Sus scrofa: one gene and its partners. The protein of the gene in region 2 interacts with the protein of the main gene of each other region in a biochemical or structural test. Links are inferred from orthologs where the notes say so. Each region holds a gene or a part of one and is shown on either strand. Other genes may lie near its edges.

What was found. The genes of interacting proteins can lie anywhere in the genome.
Region 1: the proteins of RPS6KA1 (region 2) and ARHGEF11 interact in a test that uses a peptide from one of them, tested with the Homo sapiens proteins (2 studies listed by BioGRID and IntAct). The link is inferred for Sus scrofa from reciprocal best matches to the Homo sapiens genes RPS6KA1 and ARHGEF11.
Region 3: the proteins of RPS6KA1 (region 2) and GRASP interact in a test that uses a peptide from one of them, tested with the Homo sapiens proteins (2 studies listed by BioGRID and IntAct). The link is inferred for Sus scrofa from reciprocal best matches to the Homo sapiens genes RPS6KA1 and TAMALIN.

What each region holds. Positions count from the first base shown.
Region 1 is NC_010446.5:93,144,541-93,152,084, reverse strand, and holds part of ARHGEF11 (rho guanine nucleotide exchange factor 11), read right to left. Parts: intron 5,545-7,544; coding exon 5,365-5,544; intron 5,278-5,364; coding exon 5,230-5,277; intron 5,020-5,229; coding exon 4,832-5,019; intron 4,551-4,831; coding exon 4,404-4,550; intron 4,139-4,403; coding exon 4,059-4,138; intron 3,967-4,058; coding exon 3,841-3,966; intron 3,376-3,840; coding exon 3,258-3,375; intron 2,163-3,257; coding exon 1,984-2,162; intron 1,452-1,983; coding exon 1,376-1,451; intron 1,062-1,375; coding exon 894-1,061; intron 1-893. UniProt on the Homo sapiens protein: May play a role in the regulation of RhoA GTPase by guanine nucleotide-binding alpha-12 (GNA12) and alpha-13 (GNA13). Acts as guanine nucleotide exchange factor (GEF) for RhoA GTPase and may act as GTPase-activating protein (GAP) for GNA12 and GNA13.
Region 2 is NC_010448.4:83,925,279-83,932,822, reverse strand, and holds part of RPS6KA1 (ribosomal protein S6 kinase alpha-1), read right to left. Parts: intron 6,697-7,544; coding exon 6,590-6,696; intron 5,326-6,589; coding exon 5,288-5,325; intron 4,945-5,287; coding exon 4,802-4,944; intron 4,188-4,801; coding exon 4,117-4,187; intron 3,824-4,116; coding exon 3,735-3,823; intron 2,764-3,734; coding exon 2,699-2,763; intron 2,439-2,698; coding exon 2,336-2,438; intron 143-2,335; coding exon 12-142; intron 1-11. UniProt on the Homo sapiens protein: Serine/threonine-protein kinase that acts downstream of ERK (MAPK1/ERK2 and MAPK3/ERK1) signaling and mediates mitogenic and stress-induced activation of the transcription factors CREB1, ETV1/ER81 and NR4A1/NUR77, regulates translation through RPS6 and EIF4B phosphorylation, and mediates cellular proliferation, survival, and differentiation by modulating mTOR signaling and repressing pro-apoptotic function of BAD and DAPK1.
Region 3 is NC_010447.5:17,358,632-17,365,629, reverse strand, and holds part of GRASP (general receptor for phosphoinositides 1-associated scaffold protein), read right to left. Parts: intron 5,133-6,998; coding exon 5,083-5,132; intron 3,466-5,082; coding exon 3,411-3,465; intron 3,307-3,410; coding exon 3,204-3,306; intron 1,772-3,203; coding exon 1,678-1,771; intron 1,557-1,677; coding exon 1,490-1,556; intron 1,280-1,489; coding exon 1,213-1,279; intron 816-1,212; coding exon 322-815; 3' UTR 1-321. UniProt on the Homo sapiens protein: Plays a role in intracellular trafficking and contributes to the macromolecular organization of group 1 metabotropic glutamate receptors (mGluRs) at synapses.

The DNA.
Region 1 (7,544 bases), on a different chromosome or scaffold from region 2:
CTACTTCCTGCTTTCCTGACAGGTGTAAGGTGCTTTGGGGTTATAAAACTACATCACACCCATCCTCCCTTTATATCCCCTGCCCCTAGAGGCAGGTATCACCTCCCATGTTAGAGGGGAAAAAAAGCAAGTGCAGAGAATGTGGTTTCCTCGCTCTTGCTCCAGAGTCCTTCTTGTACAAGCTCTGCTGCTCACTGCAATGCTCTGAGCACTGGACTGGGCTCTGGATGTGGGTACACTGGTCTCTGCAAGCGAGCTCTGCCCCGCCCTCTCTCCCTGTCTCTCTCTCTCTCTCTCTCTTTTTTTTTTTTTTTTTTTTTGGTCTTTGGTCTTTTTAGGGCTGTACCGGTGGCATATGGAGGTTCCCAGGCTAGGGGTCGAATTGGAGCTATAGCTGCTGGCCTACACCACAGCCATAGCCACACCAGATCTGAGCTGCGTCTGAGACCTACACCATAGTTCACAGCAGTGCCGGATCCTTAACCCACTGAGTGAGGCCAGGGATTGAATCTGCATCCTCACAGACACTAGTCAGATTTGTTTCCACTGAGCCATGACGGGAACTCCTGCCCTTCACTCTTGTCGCAGAAAGGCTTGTCCCTGCCCAACGCTGCTCACTCTTCCTCCTCAGCCCACCCTAGATGCCCGGATCCCATCCTGCATCAGGTTGTCCATCTTCATCTTGGTCCCCCCATCCTACCCGTCACCCCACACCATGCTGGACCACATCCTCCTGCTTAGATGGGCCAGCGTAGGAGGAAAGGAACAAATAGGGCCAGGAAGTTTCGTATGGCCCCAGATCAGCCCCGTATCACTGAGTGCTCGCTGGACATGAGTAACAGGGATCATGGCCCCGAGGCCTGGGCCAGCTGGGACCATCTCCTCACGGGTACCTGTGGCCACAGAGCGGATGAGCACGGCATTGAGCTTGAGCACGGGGCTGAAGGTCTGCTTGCTGTCCGACGAGCCCACGGCCGTCTTGCTGTGGCACTTGAGCAGCAGCTTCTCATCCTGTTTCTGCAGCAGCACGAGGAGGTCCTCCAGCAGCAGCACGTGGAGGTCTGGAGGGATGTGGTGCTTGTGAGGTGTTCCCTGTTGCCTGCTCACCCCTCATTGACGCATGGGGTACCAGAGGCTCTTGGACGACCATCCCCAGGGTCTAGGAAGCCCTGGAGTCTGGTGACCTCCGACTCCACTGTTTTTGGTCCTCCCTCCCCAGGCTGTGCTGAAGGAGCCCTGAGCCGTCATCTCCAGTGGTGTTTCAAGCTGCCTCTCCGGCCACCTTACTACCTCTCCAGAGACCCAGATACAGGGCTTATGATCGGGAGAGGGGACAGCCTAGATCCCCTCTCAGCCCCGGGCCCCCTGCACTTACCTAAGGTCTTATCCTTGCTGATCCTCCAGGTCAGGGGCCCCTCGTGGATCATTTTTCTGGCTGTAAGATCTAGGCTCTGTTAAGGAGACACCATTCATTTATTCACCAAGTATCTGAGAACGTGCTCTGGGCCAGACACTGTGCTAAGGTGCTGGGAATCAGTGGCAAGCCCAGAACAGTCTGTGCCTCACACTTATGTGGGGATGCAGACAAGTCAAAGGTCACGTGCCAAGTGCTGGGGGACACAGTCATGGCTCTGGCTGGGGCCTCTCGACTGCCTACCACCTGCGTCTACCCTCCTAAGACGACTCTCTGTACCTGCCCATCCCTTCGGCTTTATTCCCTCCCGAATGACCTTCACCTCCACCTCGAGTTTACTCCCATCCCCTGCTCGCCCAGGCCGAGTTCTCACATGTAGCCTTTACGGTGGGCCTGTAGGCTCTTGTCTCTTCAGGGATGGGGGGACAATGGTCAGAGGGACCCCCTTCGCCATCCCATCACAGACAGCCCAGGCCTCCTCCCCGCCCTGACCCGAATTCTGCCCCAAGGGGTGCCCGAGAAGTACGTGTGCACGTGGGGCTGACGGCGCTGCAGCCTCTGCCTCCTACCTTGAACTCCGCTGCCAGGGGGTTGCTGGCCCTCTCCAGGGAGGTGGTATCCAGGCGTTTCTGGTAGCTCTCTAGACGGTGCCGGTTCTCCGTCTGCTTCACAGCCTCGTTCACGTACTTGAGAATTTCTCGGCACTGATCCCGGGCCCGGCAGAGTTTCTCGTGCTCAGTGGTGCCACCTACCCATCGAGGTAGACAGGAGGATGTTAGGGCTCCTGCCTGAGAAGTGTGTCAGGGCCCAACAGTACCTGGCTACCCACAGCCATGGTGACTGGCCTGTCACAAACCAGCAGGTATGGGCGTAGACACGCCACCCTTGCCTAACAGTATAAGGATAACTCATACCGAGGGTCCCTGGGTTTCAGAGCACTGCTGATGGCTCCCAGGAATTCCTGCCTAGACCACAACGAGCTTTGTGGGGTGGGGGTGGGAAGGAGGGGGGCTTTGGGTAACGGTAATGATGGTGCCTCCCTCTAGCAACACCTGTTCAAACCAGACTGCAGTTCTTCCCACTTCTACATCCAGACATCGATGGCCCAAATTTGAAGGTGGCGAAAAGGTACTCAGGATCCCAGGGACAGTGGCAACCTGGGGCTAGACTTTCTTTTTGGCACTCCTCTGGAGTAACCACGCACAACTGTATCTTTAGTGCACTGCGCAGAGATGTCCGGCGGGGGGATGGATGGGGTTAAAATCCAGCCAAGGCCTCTGGTGGGGGACCACGATCATCAGAGGAGCCGCGGCGCCCCTGTGTGCCAACCCGCGTCCGATCAGAGGCTTTCCACTGATGTGCAGAGGCCCCACAGAGGCCACAGGCGGCCCTTCCCTCCTCCTGCTACTGAGCACCTAACTTTTGCCATTTATTTATTTATTTATTTACTTTTGGTCTTTTGTCTTTTTAGGGCCGCACCTGTGGTACATGGAGGTTCCCAGGCTAGGGGTTGAATCGGAGCTGTTAGCTGCTGGCCTACATCACAGACACAGCAACGCGGGATCCGAGCTGCGTCTGCAACCTACACCACAGCTCACGGCCACGGCGGATCCTTAAGCCACTGAGCGAGGCCAGGGATCAAACCCAAGTCCTCATGGATGCTAGTCGGGTTCATTAACTGCTGAGCTATGAGGGGAACTCCCAAAGCACATTTATAATCATCTTTTTTTGAGACTGACCCTGACAACACAAGGATGAAGACTTGAAGACCAGAGAGGGCAAGTGACTTGCGCAGGTCACAGAGCAAGTCGGTGCTAGAAGCAGGGTCTGAGCTGAGCCCTACCTTCCGTGTGCTTGATGATGTTCTCCAGCAGCAGAGGGTACTTGGTGAGCCGCTGCATCTCGGAGATGATGAGGTCTCTAAGCTGCAGCCGCCGGCACTGAGGGTGGCTCTCGGCCTCCTGGATGGAAGGAGGCACAGAGAAAGATGTGAGCCCAGGGTAGGAGCTGGCCTGCGGCTCAGGACCCGGAGGAGGGTGCAAATGCCAGACAGGTCCTAATCCCAGAGGGTCACTGAGAAGTAGTGGTGACAGCTTCTTGCTTAAATACTTAGAGTGAGGTTGGTGGAGGTGGGGCGACAACAACCCAGGAAGGGCTATGGTGAGGGGGCCCTTCTGACGGCAAGTCCAGAGCATCTGTCCTGGGGGTGGGTATGTGTCGGTGTTTCTGAACAGCAGGGTGGGGGAGGGTGTGGAGGGTGCAGCAAGTTGCTGGGTTACCCTCCCTGGCAGAGACAAGAGGCCAAGGCACCCAGAGCTGGGGCCGGGAGGAGAGCTGGGGAGACGCCGGGCGAATTAGTTAACTTTCCCCCTCAGCTCTGCTGCGCTGTGACTGAACTGGCTGCTTTTAGAGGCAACGAGCAGCACCTGCATGAAGAGCTGGAACCGGCTCTCCTTGCGCTGCCTGGTCTTGATCAGCTCCAAAGCGATGGACTGATAGGAGCAGAACTGCGCGGCCACCTGCTGGAGCTCCTCCCGGGCAGGGCCGTCGAACTGAGAGGCAGAACAGACACCACTCGGCCTCATACCCCTGCCTGGGACCCCCTGCCCCCACCCCCCGCCTCCTCCAGGCCTGGTGGCCATACCCGGGCCAGCATGAGGTCACTGATTTCTTTGATGATGGGGCCCTCCTCCCGGAGCTTCTTCATGGCTTCACACCAGGAATCTGGGGCGAAGAGAAGAGACACAAGTGCCTGGGGTGAAGCTGCCCGGCCGGGCTCTCTGCGATGAGAGAAGTGCCATGGGGAAGGGTCCGGAAGCCATTTCACTTATGGGGGAGCTGGAATGCTGGCTTCAGGCTGAACATCAGGTTCTCCCACCAAAGAGGACTGGCGGGGCCTATCTGCTCAGGGAGGGGGTGGGGGCGGGCGAGACCAGAGCAGGAACCTGAAGGCTGGCCAGGGAAGGGGGAGGCGGGGCGGGCTCCTCACTGTGGATCTCGATGAGCTCGGGCAGGTTGGGGAAGAGCCGGGCCAGCTCCTCCCGGGGCAGTAGGCCCTCCTTCTTCATCCGCTGGTAGAAGATCAGGTCCAGGACCCGGAGTGTGCGCAGATGGGAAGCCTCTGTCACAAACAGCTCTGAGCGGGGGTAGTGACGAGGAGGGGCAGAGAGGTGGGAAGAAAACCAATTAGCAAGGATCTAGAGTCACAACTGAGACCTCTGAACCCCTATACCTTTGGTGCTGGTTTCAGATGGCGCATCAACTCCTCTCTCCCCAGGGCTGGCGAGAACCGCAGCATCGACAGTCCTGCCCCCAGGGCCCCATCCTGTGTTCTCTACCACCCTCTGCATCTGAGATGCTCTGCACCTGTTCCCACATGAGTTGGGGTGGACGGGGGGAGGTGGAGCTGGTCCTCACCGTTGATGACCTCCTGCCGGTCAATCTCCCTCTGGCTTAGCCCAGCCACCACATCCTTGCCCACTGTGTGCTGCCAGTTCTGGGCATCTGGCTCTGGCTCCAGATCAGACAGATGGCCCAGATCATCTTCCAGGAGGTTGGGGAGGAGGGCATCTGTGCAGAACCCCAAGCTGGGGGACTCAATACTCCTGGGGGAACAAGCAGCTCAGCATCACTCGGAGGAAGAATGCAAACGTGGGGTTTTTCCTTCCCTCTCCTGCCCCACCTGCCTGCCCTGGGCCTATGGGAAACCAGCAGGCCACGAAGAGGAGCTGCACCACTGACCAGCCACTGGAAGAGGGCAGGGGCAGCCGAGCATGGCGGGGACACGGATACCTACCAGGCCTGTCCTCACTCACCTACGGCCCATTTTGGGGGTGAAGGGAGGGGTTGGGTTCTCAAGAGACCTGTGGAGAGAATGTCAACTCTCAGCCACCCTCTGCCGCTGCCCCCCGACCCCCCATCAGCAGGCTGAGCCACTGAGCCCTGACCACCTGGTGGAGAGGCTGGAGGCAGAGGACGAGGCTGACTGGTGGAGGCGGGCGGCCTCTGCGGCGGCGTCCATGTCCACGTCGCTGCGAGAGCGGGGTACGTTCTCCGCCTTCCGAGACCGCTTCATCTCCTCCCGGCCCTTCAGGCTCTCAGAGCGGCCCAGGCGAATCTCCGAGCGTGAACTGGATGGAAAGGGCAAGAGGCCTTGGGATCCTGTATCTGGCCAGCTCTTATCTGCTGCCCCATCTCAGTGCTGCACGCATCCACCCCAAACACCAAACCAAAGGACCCGAACTCTGGCGGCAGGTGCTGCTCAGCTGACAAACCGCTTTTGCTAACAGCTCCTTCTCCCCAGCCAGGCGTGAGGGGCATAGCCTCTTCACTTTCCTCATGGCAGGTCAGGAAGGGATCCTAACAGGAAGGCGAAATCTGGGACTAACCATCAGACTTGTGGGGTGTCCAGATGCCAAAGACCCTGAGGCCTCAACAGGAAAGCTGTGGACACTGAAGTCCCTCATCAGGGACCACAAGGGCCCACCCTCCCTGCCCCTGGGCCGTCTTGTGGCCAGCCCATCTTGCCCTCTGCTTTGACTTTTTTTTTTTACTGAGTCTGTGGCATGTAGAAGTTCCTGGGCTGGGGACTGAACCCGAGCCACAGCAGTGACTACAAGCCACAGCAGTGGCAACGCTGAATCCTCATCTGCTAGGACACCAGGGAACTCCCACCCTCTGCTTTGGAACAGAGGCTGGGAGTTCATGTCCTGCCTCGGACTCTGCCTGAGGTGGATCTCTCTCCTTCTACGAGATCTTTTACAAGCTCCACCTTCACACAGTTTTTTTTGTTTTTCTTTTCCCCCCCTTTTTTGGCCATGCTTGCGGCCCGTGGAAGTTCGCAGGCCAGGGATCCTTCACACTCTTTCATTCTCCACACTGCCTTTCAGAAATTCTACCTGCTGTTGGATTCCTACTCCTCTAGTTGTGATGTGGGTTGTGGGTTTCTTCCATTCTTATCTTGAAGGCATCCTTTCTGGGCTTCCAGGCCCCTCCTGGGAGCAGATGACTCAGGAGGGTGCTGACAGGGGCCTGTGTACTGATGGGCAGGAACTTGCTCCCTGGCCCGCCAGGCTTGACCACAGAGGGTCTGTGGGGCCTGGCGAGATGCTGACGACTGGGTGCTGCTCTTTTTGAGTCCTGCAGGGCACCAGCCCTGTGACAGCCGCCATCTCTGACCCCTAGCTGCCCCAGGATGGTGCCTCCCCCCGTGGCCCTGCTGGGCTGGTTCTTTGCTGACATTATTACTCATCTACATCCTGCTCTGCCTCTAGGACCACAGACGGCCTGGAGAGTCTGGAGGGCTCTTAAGAGCACAGCAGGTTGCTGCCATGAAGGAGCCAAATGGCTGGGTCTCCATTTCTCAAGTCTCTCTGAGCTGCCGGAGGCCCCAAAATGCCGCTCCTCCCTGGGTCTTGAGGGTTCGTCTGCAGGATTAGAAACCATACTAACAGCTGATTCCCTATTGAACTCACCCCCTGAAGTCTGTTAGAACAATTCCGACACAGACTAACTCCAAACACTTTCGCCAGTGCCCATGGGTCACTTTGGTGTCACAACAAACCTCATACAATGGAGGTTACTGGTACCCAGAAGCGAGGAACGTTCCCACCAACAAGCGAGGTATTCAACCCATCTCTGGCCTCAAATTCCTAAACCCCTGCCCAGAACTGGGGTGGGTGCGGGTGGTGCTTCTACCTGTTTAGTGTCTATGACGGCCTCTGACCCACCATTGCTGCCGATGCCACTTCTGAACTTGTCAGGGAGCTTATAACCATCAGATCCAAAGGCTGCTGCTCAGTACATTTGGGACCATGTCTCAGGGCAAAGTTACCTAACGACTTTCAGGGCACAAGTTTACAAACGGTCCCAAGTATCTTCTCCAGGTGTTGACAGTCTATCTTCTAACTGTGTATCTGAAACATCTATAAAACCATACCCACCCCAGCAATCACATCCTTTGTATATTTAATCTACCCAGTCCTATCAGAACTCAACCTCTCACCCGAGTGCAGATATAATCTTTATCCTGCCTAAATCTTTGTTAATTCTCACTACTGCCAAAGTCTTTAACATGTGTTAAACTTATAAAGACTTAGTATTACAGAAAGGAGTAACCTCGCATATGAGC
Region 2 (7,544 bases):
CTGCCCCTCACCTGTACCACCGAGTGCAGGGGCGCCTGCGTGGCCCGGGGCTTGCCGTCATCCTCCATTAGGCCAGTGGCCACGAAGCTGAAGCCACGGAACAGCTGATGAGCACCAGCGCTGGGGGGGATGCCTGGGGAGTCTGCAGGGGCAGGACAGAGATGTGAGCCGGAGGAGGTACCCTTGACCCAAGGCAGCCCAGCAACGTGGAGCCCAGGGTTTTCAGGCTGGTCTCAGCAGCTGGTGGTGGTGGGAGCCAGAGCAGGAGCCCTCACCCCAGCCTTCGTTAGCCCATCTGTCCATGTGTGCTTAGCCCGGCCCAGCCCTGACACACCAGGAACACAAAGACCCTCATGTCAGAGTTTCTGCTGTGACGCAGTGGGATCAGTGGCATCTCTGGAGCTCTGGGACACACATTCATCCCAGGCACAGTGGGTTAGGGATCAGGTGTTCCCTCACCACGGCATAGGAGCATAGGTGGCAACTGTGCCTCCGATCTGATCCCTGGCCCAGGGAAGGCCTTATGCCATGAGGAAGCCAAAAAAGAAAAAAAAAAAAGACCCTCATATCCACCAGCACCCACCCAGGCCAAGACACTTCAGGCCCTCCTGGAGGCCTCCCGCCTCTGGTCTGCCCCTTCAGGTCCATCTCCTGTGCAGCAGGCAGAGGACTGGTCCCAACCCTAAATCGACCCCCTGCCTGTGCCCCTCACGTGCTCCCGTCTGCCCTCATGAGACAGCCCAGAGCCTCAGCCTGGCAGTGAGGTGCCTGTGATCTTAGCCTCCTCCCTCCTCCCCCAACCCCAACCCCACAGCTCAGCCACACCAAGCTTCTTGGATCCTTCAAGGAGACTCCGTGCCACTGCACATGCTGTTCCTGCTAACTATACAACTCATTCCTTGTCCTTCCTTTGAGGCTTGGCTTCGACCCTGTCCTCTGAGAAGCCGGGCCTCATGATGCTCCTCCAGCCCCTTGTGCTCCCCAGCAGCGGTTCCCACGTCTCTTTTGCCACCAGAGCCTGAGCCATATGAAGGCAGGGCCTGGCTCTGGCTTGTTCACCCTCAGTGCCTCCCATCGTTGGCACATAGTAGGGACCTGCTATATATTTGCCAGGTAAACAAAGATGGGGCAGACTGCTCAGAGAAGTGCTAAGCTCCCTGACACCACAGGAGTGCAAACCACAGTGAGAAAAACTCCCCTGTGGAGTTCCCATCGTGGCTCAGTGGAGACAAACCTGACTAGCATCCGTAGGATGAGGGTTTGATCCCTGGCCTCGCTCAGTGGATTAATGATCCGGCGTTGCCACGAGCTGCAGTGTAGGATGCAGACGTGGCTTGGATCCTGTGTTGCTGTGGCTGTGGCGTAGACCAGCAGCTGTAGCTCTGATTCGACCCTAGCCTGGGAACCTCCATATGCCTCAGGTGCAGCCTTTAAAAAAAGAAAAGAAAAATACACCTCCTACTAAAACCTGCCCTCCGGAAAGAATACTCTTCACCAATACCTGACCAAAAGGTTAGGATTTTTTTTTTTTTCTTTTTGTCTTTTTGCCTTTTCTAGGGCCGCTCCCACAGCATATGGAGGTTCCCAGGCTAGGGGTCTAATCGGAGCTGTAGCCACAGGTCTATGCTACAGCCACAGCAACATGGGATCCGAGCTGCATCTGCAACCTATACCACAGCTCACAGCAGCGCCGGATCCTTAACCCACTGAGCGAGGCCAGGGATCGAACTCACAACCTCATGGTTCCTAGTCGGATTCGTTAACCACTGAACCATGACGGGAACTCCCCAAAAGATTAGGATTTACCAAGCTTCCTCCTAGAAGCCCCCTCCTTGGCTTCCAGTGGTGACCACCACCCTTGACTGAGTGGGCCTGTGACTGGGCCCACGCTCCAGATGAGTAGACTGAAGCCTAGCAGTGAGAGTAGCCAAAGCTGATTCCCACGCTTGCCCCTGATCTGGGAGCGTTGTCACCTTTGCTCTGCCAGACGGTCTCCACCTCACGTGTTTGTTGGGTCAGATTCTTTAGCCCTGACGTGACTGTGTCTGGTCTTCCCAGTGGCTGAAGAGGCCCGGGGCAGGGGTCCTGACTTTTCTGTTGTGGCCTTAATCGCCCACTCACCCCCACCCCCTCAGCCAGGCACAAAGAGGCCCATAGAGCCCTGGAGTGGGACAGCCAGGCAGGATGAGATGGGGACAAAGAGTGAGAGACCCACACGCCTGTCTGCCCACACACCTGGGCCTGCCAGAGCCCTGACCACCCCTTCGTCCCCAGGAGCTCCTGTCGCCCTGCTTCCCACTGTACCAGCCCAAGACAAACCAGACAAGGGACGCACCCTTGGGCGTGCGGGACGTGAACTCGGTGTCAAAGTAGAAGGTATCATCGGGTTGTGCCACGGCCGGCTTGAAGGGTGGCTTGATCTCACGCCGGTACAGCTTCTGCAAGGTGGAGCAGGCAGCCTGCTCACCACGGCCCCTCCACAGCCCGCCAGCAGCCCCGTGCAGGAGGAGCGAGGGCCTAGAGCACAGGCTACGCAGACAGGGCACAAGTGCTGGCCCTCGGGAGGCCAGCCTGTGCCTCCAAGGCCATGCCGTCACCTCTGGGCCAAGCAGAGGCCCTCGTCAATAAAAGCCCCCTCCCGCCACAGTCGAAGCCCTGCTGTGGTGGGGCTCGGGGGAGGGGGGGGGCAGACACTCACGTTCCAGTCAATGGTGGAGTAGAAGACATGCCGCTTGATCTCCTCGGCCCCGTCAGGGCCCGAGCCTGAAAGAGCCCAGATGAGGGGTCTGTCCCTGGGTGCTCCAAGCCCCAGACACCCGCCCTGTCCGCCGAGCAGCCTCACTGTGGTCTAGGACCAGTGGCTGGAACATGGGGGTGGCCGGGCTCCATCCAGCCATCATCCCAAGGTCTGCTGCCCCCCAGCATTTTCCACTTCCTGGAGCCCCTTTATTATCAAGTTCCAGGGTGCGGATGGGAGAAGGCAGGCCCAGAGAGGCCCGGCAACTCGTCCAAGGCCACACAGGACAAAGGCTGAGCCTGTTCCAAGATCTGCAGGGGGCCCCCACCTCCCTCCCAACCCAGGCCTCATCTCCTGCTCTTGTCCCCTTACCCCTGGCAGCCACCACACAGCCTCTCACTCCGCTTAAGCCCAGGGACCTGGGTGGGACCTTTCAGAGCCCAGCATGGTCATGGTCCAGGTGAACCCAGGAGCCAAGGAGTCAGCACACACTGAGCAGCTACTAAAGGCATGTTTATGCAACCTCATTGAATCGACAAAGCTTGAGACCATTGTCGCCCACGGAGACAAGGACTGGGGCTCCAGGGGGTGAAGTTAACTCCCCTGAGTCACTTCGCTCATAAATGGCGCTCATTCGCTGAACACATATTTGTAGAGGGACCACTGTGTGTCGGGCAGGGGGACCTATCATGGGGAGCCGAGCCTCTGACGCCCGAGCTCATGCTCCGTCTCTCGTGCCAGCAGCCTTGGCGGAGGAGCTGTGTGGGGGCCTCTGTCCTCATCCCCAGGGCGAGTGGAGATGACTCAGTTCCTGCCTTCCCCCTACACACAGGTCACCCCCCTGCCCCAAACGCCACGCATGGAGCCAGAAGGCAGGGTGGCCGGCGGCATTGTCTGCCCACACAAAGGACAACGGCCCCTTTCAGCCCCAGATGTGGCCCCGTGGCCTGGGCCGCAGCTGTACCCTGCTCCCCTCCCCTGAGCAGGGGTTGCTTACCGAGCCGGTTGGCAGGATTCCGCTTGAACAGGGCCCGCAGGAGGCTCTGGGCTTCCGTGCTCAGAAACTGGGGCATGCCTAGCTTCGCCCTGAAACAGCCCGCAGGCCTCGTCAGGGCTGAGCCCCGCCCCGGAGGCCCCGTCTCGCCTCCCGCCTCTGTCCAGGTCTAGCTTCCAGCCCCTTCCAGACAAGCCATCCACGAACTCCCCTCCCAAAGACTCAGGGATTCCCCTCCCACGGGCCCTGGTTGGTGAAAAGAAAGCCCTAGAAAGCATAATGCTTGACCCAGGAGTGTCTCATTAATGGGGAATCTGAACTCTGGCACCTAAACGGAAGCCGGGCGTAGGGGAGACTGAGGAATCACAGAGCGGCTGCATCTTACTTCAGAATCAGTGTCATGGTCTCTTTCCGATCCTTCCCCTGGAAGGGCAGGGAGCCCGTCAGCATCTCAAACTGCAGAGGACAAGGGTCTGATCAGGCTCTGGTCCCATTTCCCATGCCGCCGCCTCCTCCCACCCGGGCCACTCAGCTCCATTCCCAGGATGCCTGCCTGCCAGCTGGAGGTTCACCTGGATCAAGAATTGTGTCTGTCCCTCTGTCAATCAGATCACCAGGAACTACACTATGGGCCCCAGGCTAGGGGCACCCCAGATGGGGCCAAGCCTGGAACCCTCCCCCCTTTTTTTGTCTTTTCAGGGCCACACCCACGCATATGGAAGTTCCCAGGCTAGAGGTCGAAACAGCTGCAGCTGCTGGCCTACACCACAGCCACAGCCACACGGGATCCAAGCCATGTCTGTGATCTACCTCACAGCTCACGGCAACACTGGATCCTTAACCCACTGAGTGAGGCCAGGGATTGAACCCGCATCTTCATGGATGTTAGTCAGGTTTGTTACCACTGAGCTACGATGGGAACGCCAAGCCTGGAATCCTTTTAAGGAAGGAAACTGCAGCTGGGTGGGGGTGAGGCCAGCTCAGCTGTGAGAGGACAAAAGAGCCTTAGAGACCATCATGACCCCTGACTATTTAGATGGGGAAATGAGGCCCAAGGCCTGGGCACTCACCATCAGCACCCCATAGGACCACCAGTCTGCACTGTGGGTGTGGCCCTGGCGGTTGACGACCTCGGGGGCCATGTACTCCACTGTTCCGCAGAAGGAGTAGGCCTTCTTCTCGTGGTCAATGGCCTCCTTGCTCAAGCCGAAGTCTGTGGCAAGGAGGGCAAGAGCACACATCCTCAGGACCCCCTGCCTTCCTCCCGCCCCTCCCTGCCGCCCACCCCCTTGCCCAGAGGCCTGAGAGCATCACCTCCGTGACACTCAGGTGGAAGCTGAGGCCCAGAGAGGTTAGGCGACCTGCCCAAGGTTACACAGTGGGGAGCTGGGATCTAAACCCAGGACTTTCTAGGTCTGGGTCCCGGGCTTTTGAGCACATCCAAGTGCCTGGCACCGCCTCTCAGGAAGAACAGATCCCCTAGGACTCAGCCCAGGCCCATCAAGAGCCCATCCTGCCCTCCCCTGAAGCCTGAGGGGCAAGCGCCCTCCACTCACCAGTGAGCTTGATGTGGCCCTCCTCATCCAGAAGGATGCTGCAATGGAGAGATGGGAGTCAAGACCCCTCAGCCATGGGCCCTTGGAGGGTGCTGGTGACACCTTGGGGGCTGTGGAGGTTGGGCCCAGCCCAGAGCAGGTGGTCCACCCAGGTCCATCTGATGAATGGGTGGGTGGAGCGGGTGTTGGTGGTGCTGTGCAGGTGTGTTGCCTACCTTTTTGTTAATTCTTCTTTTTTTTTTTTTTTTTTAGGGCCACACCCGCAGCATATGGAAAGTTCCCAGGCTAGGGTCGAATTAGAGCTGTAGCTGTCAGCCTATGCCACAGCCACAGCAATGCAGGAGTCGAGCCGCATCTGTGACCTATACACCAGCTCATGGCAATGCTAGATTCTTAACCCACTGAGTGAGGCCAGGGATCGAACCCGAGTCCTCATGGATACTAGTTGGGTTTGTTACTGCTAAGCCATAATGGGAATTCCCTCTTGCTAATTCTTGAAACAACTGTGTGAGGTAGGTACTTTCATAGCTCCATTTTTTTTTTTTTTTGGTCTTTTTTTGCTATTTCTTTGGGCCGCTCCCTTGGCATATGGAGGTTCCCAGGCTAGGTAGGGGTCTATCGGAGCTGTAGCCCGGGGCCTACGCCAGAGCCACAGCAACGCCAGATCCGAGCCGCGTCTGGAACCTACACCACAGCTCACGGCAACGCCGGATCCTTAACCCACTGAGCAAGGGCAGGGACCGAACCTGCAACTTCATGGTTCCCAGTCGGATTCGTTAACCACTGCGCCACGACGGGAACTCCCTCATGGCTCCATTTTTTTAACAATGGGGAAACTAAGGCTCAGGGGGGTGAAATAGCTCCCCCTGGTCATAGAGCCAGGCTGGTGGAGGCAAGATTTGAATTTGGGTTTGCCTCACTCTAAAAGCCAAGTCTCATTCTACCTCAGCACCTGCCTCTGGCTCCCAAGTTCCACTTAAGGATATTTAGATGTTAAGGAAAATTCTAGAAAGGATTATATCAAGGAATATCCTTTAATGGGGGCATCTCAGATGTCACACCAGGGTAGCAAAATGGTAGGTAACACCCAGCTACCGAGGAGACTGGTCCTTGGTAATGGCAGCGCTAGTGATCAGGCAGCCCACTCTGCTCCACCCACCCATTCATGGGGCAGCCCAAGACAGGGACACTTTCTTGGGGAGAGTCACACCCACCCCTGTTAGGCTGGCTCTGTCCTAGGAGAGACCCCAGGGCCTGCCTCTGAACCCTAGGGAGGCCGGGCGGGGCTGGGCCTTCACTCACTTCTCAGGCTTCAGGTCTCTGTAAATGATGCCTAGGCTGTGCAGGTGGTCCAGGCCCAAAGCCAGCTCGGCCAGGTAAAACTTCACATCCTCCTCCGTGAACATAACCTGCAAAAGGCAGGAGGGAGCTTCAGCTGGATCGCCTCTTCCTCGGGAGCTGGGGCACTGCGCAGTCAGCAGCTTCCTGGTCCTCCTTAGGGATTCCAGGGCCACACACCCTTCTCTTTATGAAGGGGTTTGCAGAACGAAATGACTAATATCCAAGTCACTCATGGGAGCATTGAAATGCAAATAGCAAAATCCTGGAAACAGCCCAAGGGTCAAGCAGCAGACTAAATGACTCCCCCCACATAACGGAGTGCTATGCAGCCGTAAACCAGAACAAGGGTTCCTCCATGTTCTGATACGGATCCATCTCCAAGACATACTATCATGAAAAAAGCAAAGTACAAAACAGTATATATGTAAGAAATATATATTGTATGCAAGAAAGTAGGGGGTCAGGATTCAGAACACAGGCTGAATGGGTTTGTATTTCCAAAGAAACGTGGGAAGCTTAGGCAAGAAATGAATAAAAATGTTTACCTATGGTGGGGGTTGGGGGTATGGGGCTGGGGTGGGAAGAAGACATCTCAATGAGTATCCTTTCTTTTTTTTTGGGGGGGGCGCTTTTTAGGGCTGCACTTGTAGCATATGGAGGTTCCCAGGCTAGGGGTTGAATCAGCTGCAGCTGCTGACCTACAACACAGCCACAACATGGGATTCGAGCCTCGTCTGTGACTTACACCACAGCTCACGGCAATGCCGGATCCTTAACCCCCTGAGCGAGGCCAGGGATCAAACCTGTGCCCTCAAGGACACGAGTTGGATTCGCCAGCCACTGAGCCATGATGGGAACTCCAACATTTTTCTTGTTAATCATGTATTACCTATTCAAACATTAAAATAACATTTAA
Region 3 (6,998 bases), on a different chromosome or scaffold from region 2:
CTACTGACCCAGATGTAGGATGGCACGCCGCATCTTTGGCCCCCGAACCTCTCCCAACCCCGAGCTTGCCTGGTTCTCCCGGGCCCACCTCCCACTCCGGCTTTGGGGAGGGGGAGGAGAGGGGTCTGGACCCGGGTTCACCACTCCGCAGAGACAAACGACGAACCGAGCAAGGCTAGCTGGGCTGGCTGGCTGGCTAGGACCCTCTCCCGCTGCTCTGGGCTCCTGGGGTCCCCTCGGCCGGGCGGCCGCCCCTGTCCCCTTTCTGCACTGGCTGAAACGAATAAATAAATAAATACCTTCCCCCACCCGCCCCCGCCCCTACAGCTGGCTCTCCTCCTCCTCCAGGGAGCGGTTGAGTCCGGGGATGAACTTGAGCAGCCGCCGGCGGAAGCTGCGGTACTTGGTCTTGCGCAGGCCCGGGCCGCACAGGGCCTGCTCGCGGGCCTCAGTCCAGAGCGCGCCCGGCGCGCCCCCGCCCCCGCCGCCGCCCCCCGGGCCCGCGCACCGCACGCTGGCGCTGCGGCTCAGCAGCGCCCGGGACCCCGGGGCCGAGACGGCGGCGGGGCCCGGGCCGGGCGCGCGCGCGGGGGGCGGCGGTGGCGGCGCGGGCGGCTCGGCGCCCCCGAAGAAGCACGTGTGGTAGACGGCGTCGTCCGCGTCGCCCCCGGCCCGCCGCGCGGCCCCGCGGGGACCCCCGGGCGCGGCCAGCAGGGGCCCGAAGGGCAGCGAGCCCGGGAGCAGGCCGGCGCCGTACAGGCAGGAGCGCACCGACTCCAGCGTGTCGTAGATGCTCGGATCCTTCACCACGAGGCCTGCGGGGCGGAGGACACGAGGGAGGACCGTCAGAGGGCGAGGGCAGGAGACCTTGGCTCCTTCCTTCCTGACCGTCTGCGTGGCCCGTGGGCGGGGCACAACCTTGAGCCCCCACCTCCCTCAAGCGGATCTTTGACACTCAGAGCTTTATGAGGCCCACTGATGACACAAGAGCCGCCAAGGGGTCTGAAACAAGCTCTTTGAGCCTCGGTGTTCCCATCTGTAAAATGGAGATGGCGGGATCTAGCACTTTCCTCAGAGCACAGGTATAAGGATTACCTAAAAATGTTACAGCGCTGCACCGGTAGTAGCAGCTTTCTTTAACTTTGGAGCGGGAAGCAGGGAAGACGGTATGGTAGGGGTGCCAGTGACCGGGCACAGCCCTCCTCTACTCACCGTGCACCAGGCGCTGCTCCTGCACCATTAGGGACCTGTATTCTCCCCACTTCTCATACAGGGTTTGCTGCAAGAGACACCCCCCGCCTCGCTGTCAGGAGCTAGCAAGCAACTAGGGGGGGAGGTGGCTGCAGACTGAGGGATCAGGGAGTACACAGAAGAAACCTTTAGGTTAAAAGGAGGTCCAGGAAGATAAACTAAAAGAGACCCGGGCCTGCAGGGGCAGGGGCTTGGGAAGAGGAGGTGGTGGCGGCAGCAAGTCTCTGGGCTGCCTTACCTTTAGGTACTGCAGACGAGCTTCCAGCTCTGCCTTCCGAATTGATGTCCCGTACAGAGTTTCCAGTCTGAGGAGGTTGGGGAATCGAAGGCTGAGTGAGCCCAGGGGGTGGGGAAACTCTGAGGGAGGCTGAGCTCAGGTCCCCTGTCCCCCCCTCCCCTGCCAGGGACCGAGGCACCTGGACTTACCTGAGAACGTTGCCAGACGCCTTGATGATGTCAACAATCTCTCGATGCCGGATGCCTTCCACATTCAGCCCATTGACACTGGCAATGGTGTCCCCTGCCAGGCAGAGAGGGGCTTGGCATCTGCTCCGTGGGGCACGTGGGAGAATCTCAGCCCCTTACCTTCTCCAGAAAGGTTAGGGGTAATAACCCCATAGAATTTGCCTGTACTCCCTACCCCCACTCATGGTTCTGAGGAGATCTGGTCCAGGCCCAACACCCCAGCACAGGGGCCAGGGCCTCGGACACCTCCCCCCCCACCCATCCGCCCCACCTCACCCTCAGGAAGCGCCGTCTTCAAGGGCTGAGCCCTCCCCTCAAGCCTGGGCTGCCCCCAGAGCTGGTTATTTTGGTTCAGCCCACAGGCTGTCATGAGACCCAGCAGACAGGAAGGGGGCTGGGTGAGTAGCAACCAGCTGGGAACTAACACTGGCCCCAGGCATAAGTGGCCTCAGCCTCTGATGCCCTGGGCCACCGTGGAGCCTCCTGAGCTCAGGCAGGGCTGGCCACCATTTCTGAGGGCTCATCTCCCATCCGGAAAAGCGGTGGGGATCCCTGCTATGGCTACCCTTGAGATTAGAAGGGAGAGTGGAGCTGAAACTCCTTTGCAAAATTGCAATGAACCCCTCTAGCTCCCTGGGGCTGCTGAGCAACGGGCCAGGAGGTGAGGGCTTAGGGAAGAGAATGGTGACAGGAGGTCAGTTCTTGTGGTCTCAGGCTGCCCCTTCCTGGGACTTGGGACTCTAGATCTGGCCAGTCCCAAGGGTCTCTTACTGGAGGCACCATTTCCTTGCTAGAGGAAGTATTGGGCCAGGTTGGGGCCAAGTAAGGCCCTGATCCCCAGTATTAAGCGGCTCTAATGGAATGTTGTTCCTTCCCCAACTCCTGTCCATGCCTGATGGCCAGATGGCCAGATGGCCAGGAGGAGGCAGGACAGCAGCAGCATGTGCCTTTACCAGGGCTCGGTTCTGTGCCCAGGGAATCCCCTCACTACACCGAGGTGAGGACAGGTCACTGCCCCCAGTCTGCAGATGGGACTGCTAAAGATCACGCAGTAAATGGCACATTTGCCTGGATCCAATCCATTCTTTCTTTCTGGTCTTCTCAAAAGAGGAGGAGGAAAGGGGGAGTGGTTTCAGAAGAGATTTCTTTTTTTTTTTTTTTTTTTTTCTTTTTAGGGCCTCACCCACAGCTTATGGAGGTTCCCAGCCTAGGGGTCAAATCGGAGTTGTAGCCGCCATCCTACACCACAGCCACAGCAACATGGGATCCGAGCCGTGTCTGCGACCTACACCACAGCTCACGGCAACGCTGGATCCTCAACCCACTGAGTGAGGCCGGGGATCGAACCGTATCCTCATGGATACTAGTTGGATGCGTTTCAGCTGCACCACAAGGGGAACTCCTCGGATGAGATTTCTTGCCCCCTCCGCTTGGGAGTAGGGTCACACCGCCCTCCCAGAGCCCTGCGTCCTGGGCTCGGGCCTCACCTGGTGTGAGCCCAGCCAGCTGGGCAGGACTGGACTCATGAACCCGGCAGACAAAGGTCACCATCTCCACACGCTGCTCCTCGCGGTGGTGGAGGCCGTAAGTCTGTAACACACAGGGGGCCCTCAGCCCAAGGCTGGGACAGGATCCACCCATCCCGCAGACTGGCCTCCCCGCGCCTCCCCTCCTCAGCACCCCGCTTCTCCCACCTGGATCTCAAAGCCAAAGGTCTGGTTCTCCTCCTTCTCCAGAGTCAGAACCTTCCTGCAGGAGACACAGGAAAGACTGTCAGGATTAAAAGGAGCTGGGTGGTCCCAGAGCGTGGCCCCCACTGATGCTGGGGTCTGCTCCGGAACATCTGGGCCGGGCTCACTGTCCCAGAGACATGTCACACGGGTCACAGGTTGCCGGCACGTCCTTCCCCATGTGTAGCTGACCGTAGGTAGCTTCAGGGAGCCACACAGAATCAATCCAGCCTCTGGAGAGGGAGGCACAGGAATGCCTGGCCCCCGGGGCCCGGGGGGCTAGCTGAGTTTTTGGGCCACACGCCCAGCTTTCCAGTGAGCCCCAGAATACCACTTGCTGGCTAGCTGAGGCCCCCACTTCGGCCCCAGCCTAGGGCGTCCTCTGCTCCTTGGCGGCTCCGGAGCCTTGGGGAGAGGGCTGGCCCCACCCCCAGAGGCCGGTCACGAGGCTCGGGCCCAGACCACAGCTGCTCCTCCCAGCTGCGGTGGGGCCAGCCCACCAGATGTGAGGGCTCGGGAGGGGGGAGGGGAGCCTCGAGGCCGCCCCTTCCCGCACTGACTGACGGCCTGCCCACTGGACACAATGGTCTGGAGTTGCTCCAGATCCTCGCCTGCTGGGGGAGCCCAGAGTTTCCTCTGCCCACCCCCATCCCCTTCCTTCCCGGCCTGCCAGAGGCAGAGTTAAGGCCCCTTCGAGCCGCCTCGTGGCCTCAGAAAGGCCCTGGAGACCCAGGCCTCTCAGGGCCCAAACCTGCCCCGCATACCCTCCCGCCCAAGAGCAGAGCAGCAACTCCCAACCCCAGCCTGAGCTCCTCCCTGCTTTGAATGCAGGCTTTTCCCCCTCTGTGTGTGTTGGGGTGGGGAGCAGGGTGACTGCTGTATCTACTCCAGGGCTCTCTGGGTTTCTAGAAGGACTGGCAACCTTTTTCTGCAAAGGGTCAGACAGAAAACATTTTAGCCTTTCTTTTTGAGACCTAAAATAGTGGACAGCCTCTGTCCTACATGGTTCTTTGTTTTTGTTTTTAGAGCCCTTTAGAAATATAAAAAGGACTCTTAGTTCAAGGCTCAGTCAGGCCAACCTGGCCAGCAGGCCATAGTCTGCTGATCCATTCTGGAAGAAGCCAGGCCTGAATCAAGATGGGACATGGGCAGAGTGGGGCCAGAGTCAGCACCTCCTTCTGCCCTCATCTCAAAGCCTTCCTAAGAGGCACCCCTGCCCCAGGATGGGACCAGCAGAGGACTGAAATTCTGGAGGCAGGGGCCGCTCCACTTGAGCAGCTGGAACATGGTTTGGGCCCTCGAGGTTTGCTGGGGCTGGGAGGGCTCGGTTGAGCCCCAAAGACCTCTCCTGCTTCCCCCCCCCCCAGAGCAGCTCTCTCCAGGGAGGGGGACCTGGCAGGGACTGGGGGCGGCTTGAGGAGCACCTGATGACTCAAAAGTGCCTACCTCCTTCCTTTGCCACCCCCCTGACACAGCCCACACCCCCACCTGCCCCCCATTCTCAGTGAGGGAGCCGTGCTGAAAGGGCAGGAGCGTGACTCCCCACTGGCTGGCCTGAGATGCTGTGTCGTGCTGCCCCCACCCCAGCACCTCACCCTTTTGGACCCGTCTAGGGGCTGGGGTAACGGTGACTCACCGCTGCTGTTCAGGACTCTGGCTGAGACTCTTCCAGCGGAATCCGGAGCCCTGGGTGGGAAGGAGAATCAGGAAGGAGCAGGTGAGAGGGAGCCGTCTTGAAGCAGATGCTGAGAGCCCGCCTTTGGGGAGCTCCTCGCCTGGGCTCTGGCCTCAGACCCAGCATCCCAGTCCCTGTTGCCCGTCTACCCGGCCCCAGCTCCACATCTGCTCTCCTGCTGGTGTAGCTACCTGCAGAGTGCCACTGTCAGTATCCCCATAACTTTCTCCCCAAGCTTTACCCACCCCCATAACCAGGACTGTGGAGACACAACAGCCCTCATGGGTGCTGGGTGCATGAAGCCCTGTGCTGGTTCCCAGTCTGGTGTGTGGGGGGGTCATTAATCTAGATAGGAGAGACTCCACCCCCAGGGCGTGTATCTACAGGGGCTCAGGAGCCCTAGACCCTACCAGCTGAAGCAAGGGTTCGTCTCAGGTGTTATTCAGAGAGGGGCAGGAGGCCCCTGGGCTTGCCTGTCTAGATACTCCAGAGCCCCCAGGACCACATGGGTCTCTCCTCCTAATTTATCAGCTGCAGAGCGTGGCTTGGGAGAGCTGGGGTCAGAGGCCAGGTGTGGAGGGCTGGCTGACAGTTTCAGCCTGAGCATGGAAAGGCAGGGGACAGAGGGACCCCAAAGTACAGACCTTTTCAGGGACCAGCTCTGGATACAGCTGCAAGTGGCAGCTGTGTTTAGCTCCACCCGGGCCTTTCAATTTTGCCATATATTTTGTTGTTTTCTGGGACAAAAAAACCCCACTTAGATCTCAAACTTGTCCTTAAGTCTCACTATTCTCAAGGAGAGAGATTGGGAGTTTGGGTGTTTTTTGGTTTTTCTGCTTTGTTTTGTTTTTGGTGTGGGGGATGACAGAGCGGAAGGTCCCTACTTCTTTTGGGTCCCTGAAAAACTAGTCTCTCTCCCTAAATTATTATTCCTGGGAAAAAGTCCAGGCCCAGGTCCATCGTTGTTCTGTGTGCCCCAAACAGCCCAAGGCCTTCCTGGTCAGTGTCCTTGTTAAACCTCCCCTCAGGCTGCCCCAAGGAGGAAAGAGAAGGAAACCCTCTTTCTTGGGAACCAAAGATGGGCCTCAGGGGTGGGGACAATTCCCAAAGGGGCCAGGGGGGGAAGGACTGGGCAACATAGAGAGACCCCTTTGTTTTCCACCCGATTTTCATAAAATGCAAATTCTCAACAAGCTGCTCATTGTGTTGGGGGTGGGGGGAGCCAGGGGAAAGGGTGGGGGGAGCTGAGAGGGGAAAGGCCACCAGCCCCCTCTCCTGAACCCGGGTCTTGAGTTCTCCTTTCAGAGCGCTCGGGTCCCCCTCAGGCCAAAGGAAAGAGCCCGCCGGCGGGGGCCACTCAGAGGGCGGGCGCGGCCCGCATCCTTCCTGCCCCGCGGGCGCCCGGCTTCCCCTCCCACCGCGTCCGGTCGCGGCGGCTGACGTCCAGGGAGCGGTGGCCTCACGCCCCGCACTCAGACGCAGGGCAGGCCCCGAGCCCAGGAATCCGGGCGTCCCTTCGGAAGGGTGAGCTCTCGGAGTTGGCGGCGCCGCTCTCACTTCCCCGGAGAGAAGGCACGCGGCGCGTCCGCCGCCCTCCTCCCCACCCGGGGCCGGCGGACCCTCAACTTGTCTGGGCGAGAGGCGGGACCCCAGCCCGAGGCCTCCCCACTCCCACTGAAGAAGCCCAGACAAGGGGTCCTGGGGGCCTCGAGACACCGGACTTGGGGAGGTGGGGCTGGGGGTGCTGAAGGAGAAGGGGATCTGGGGAGGCGGCAGGAAGGAGAGGGGCGACCGGGGCGGCGGCGCGTTGGGAGTGGAGAGCCGCCCAGCTCGGGGGCGGCGGGGGGCCGGGGCCGCGGGTGGAGGAGCTTGCGCCT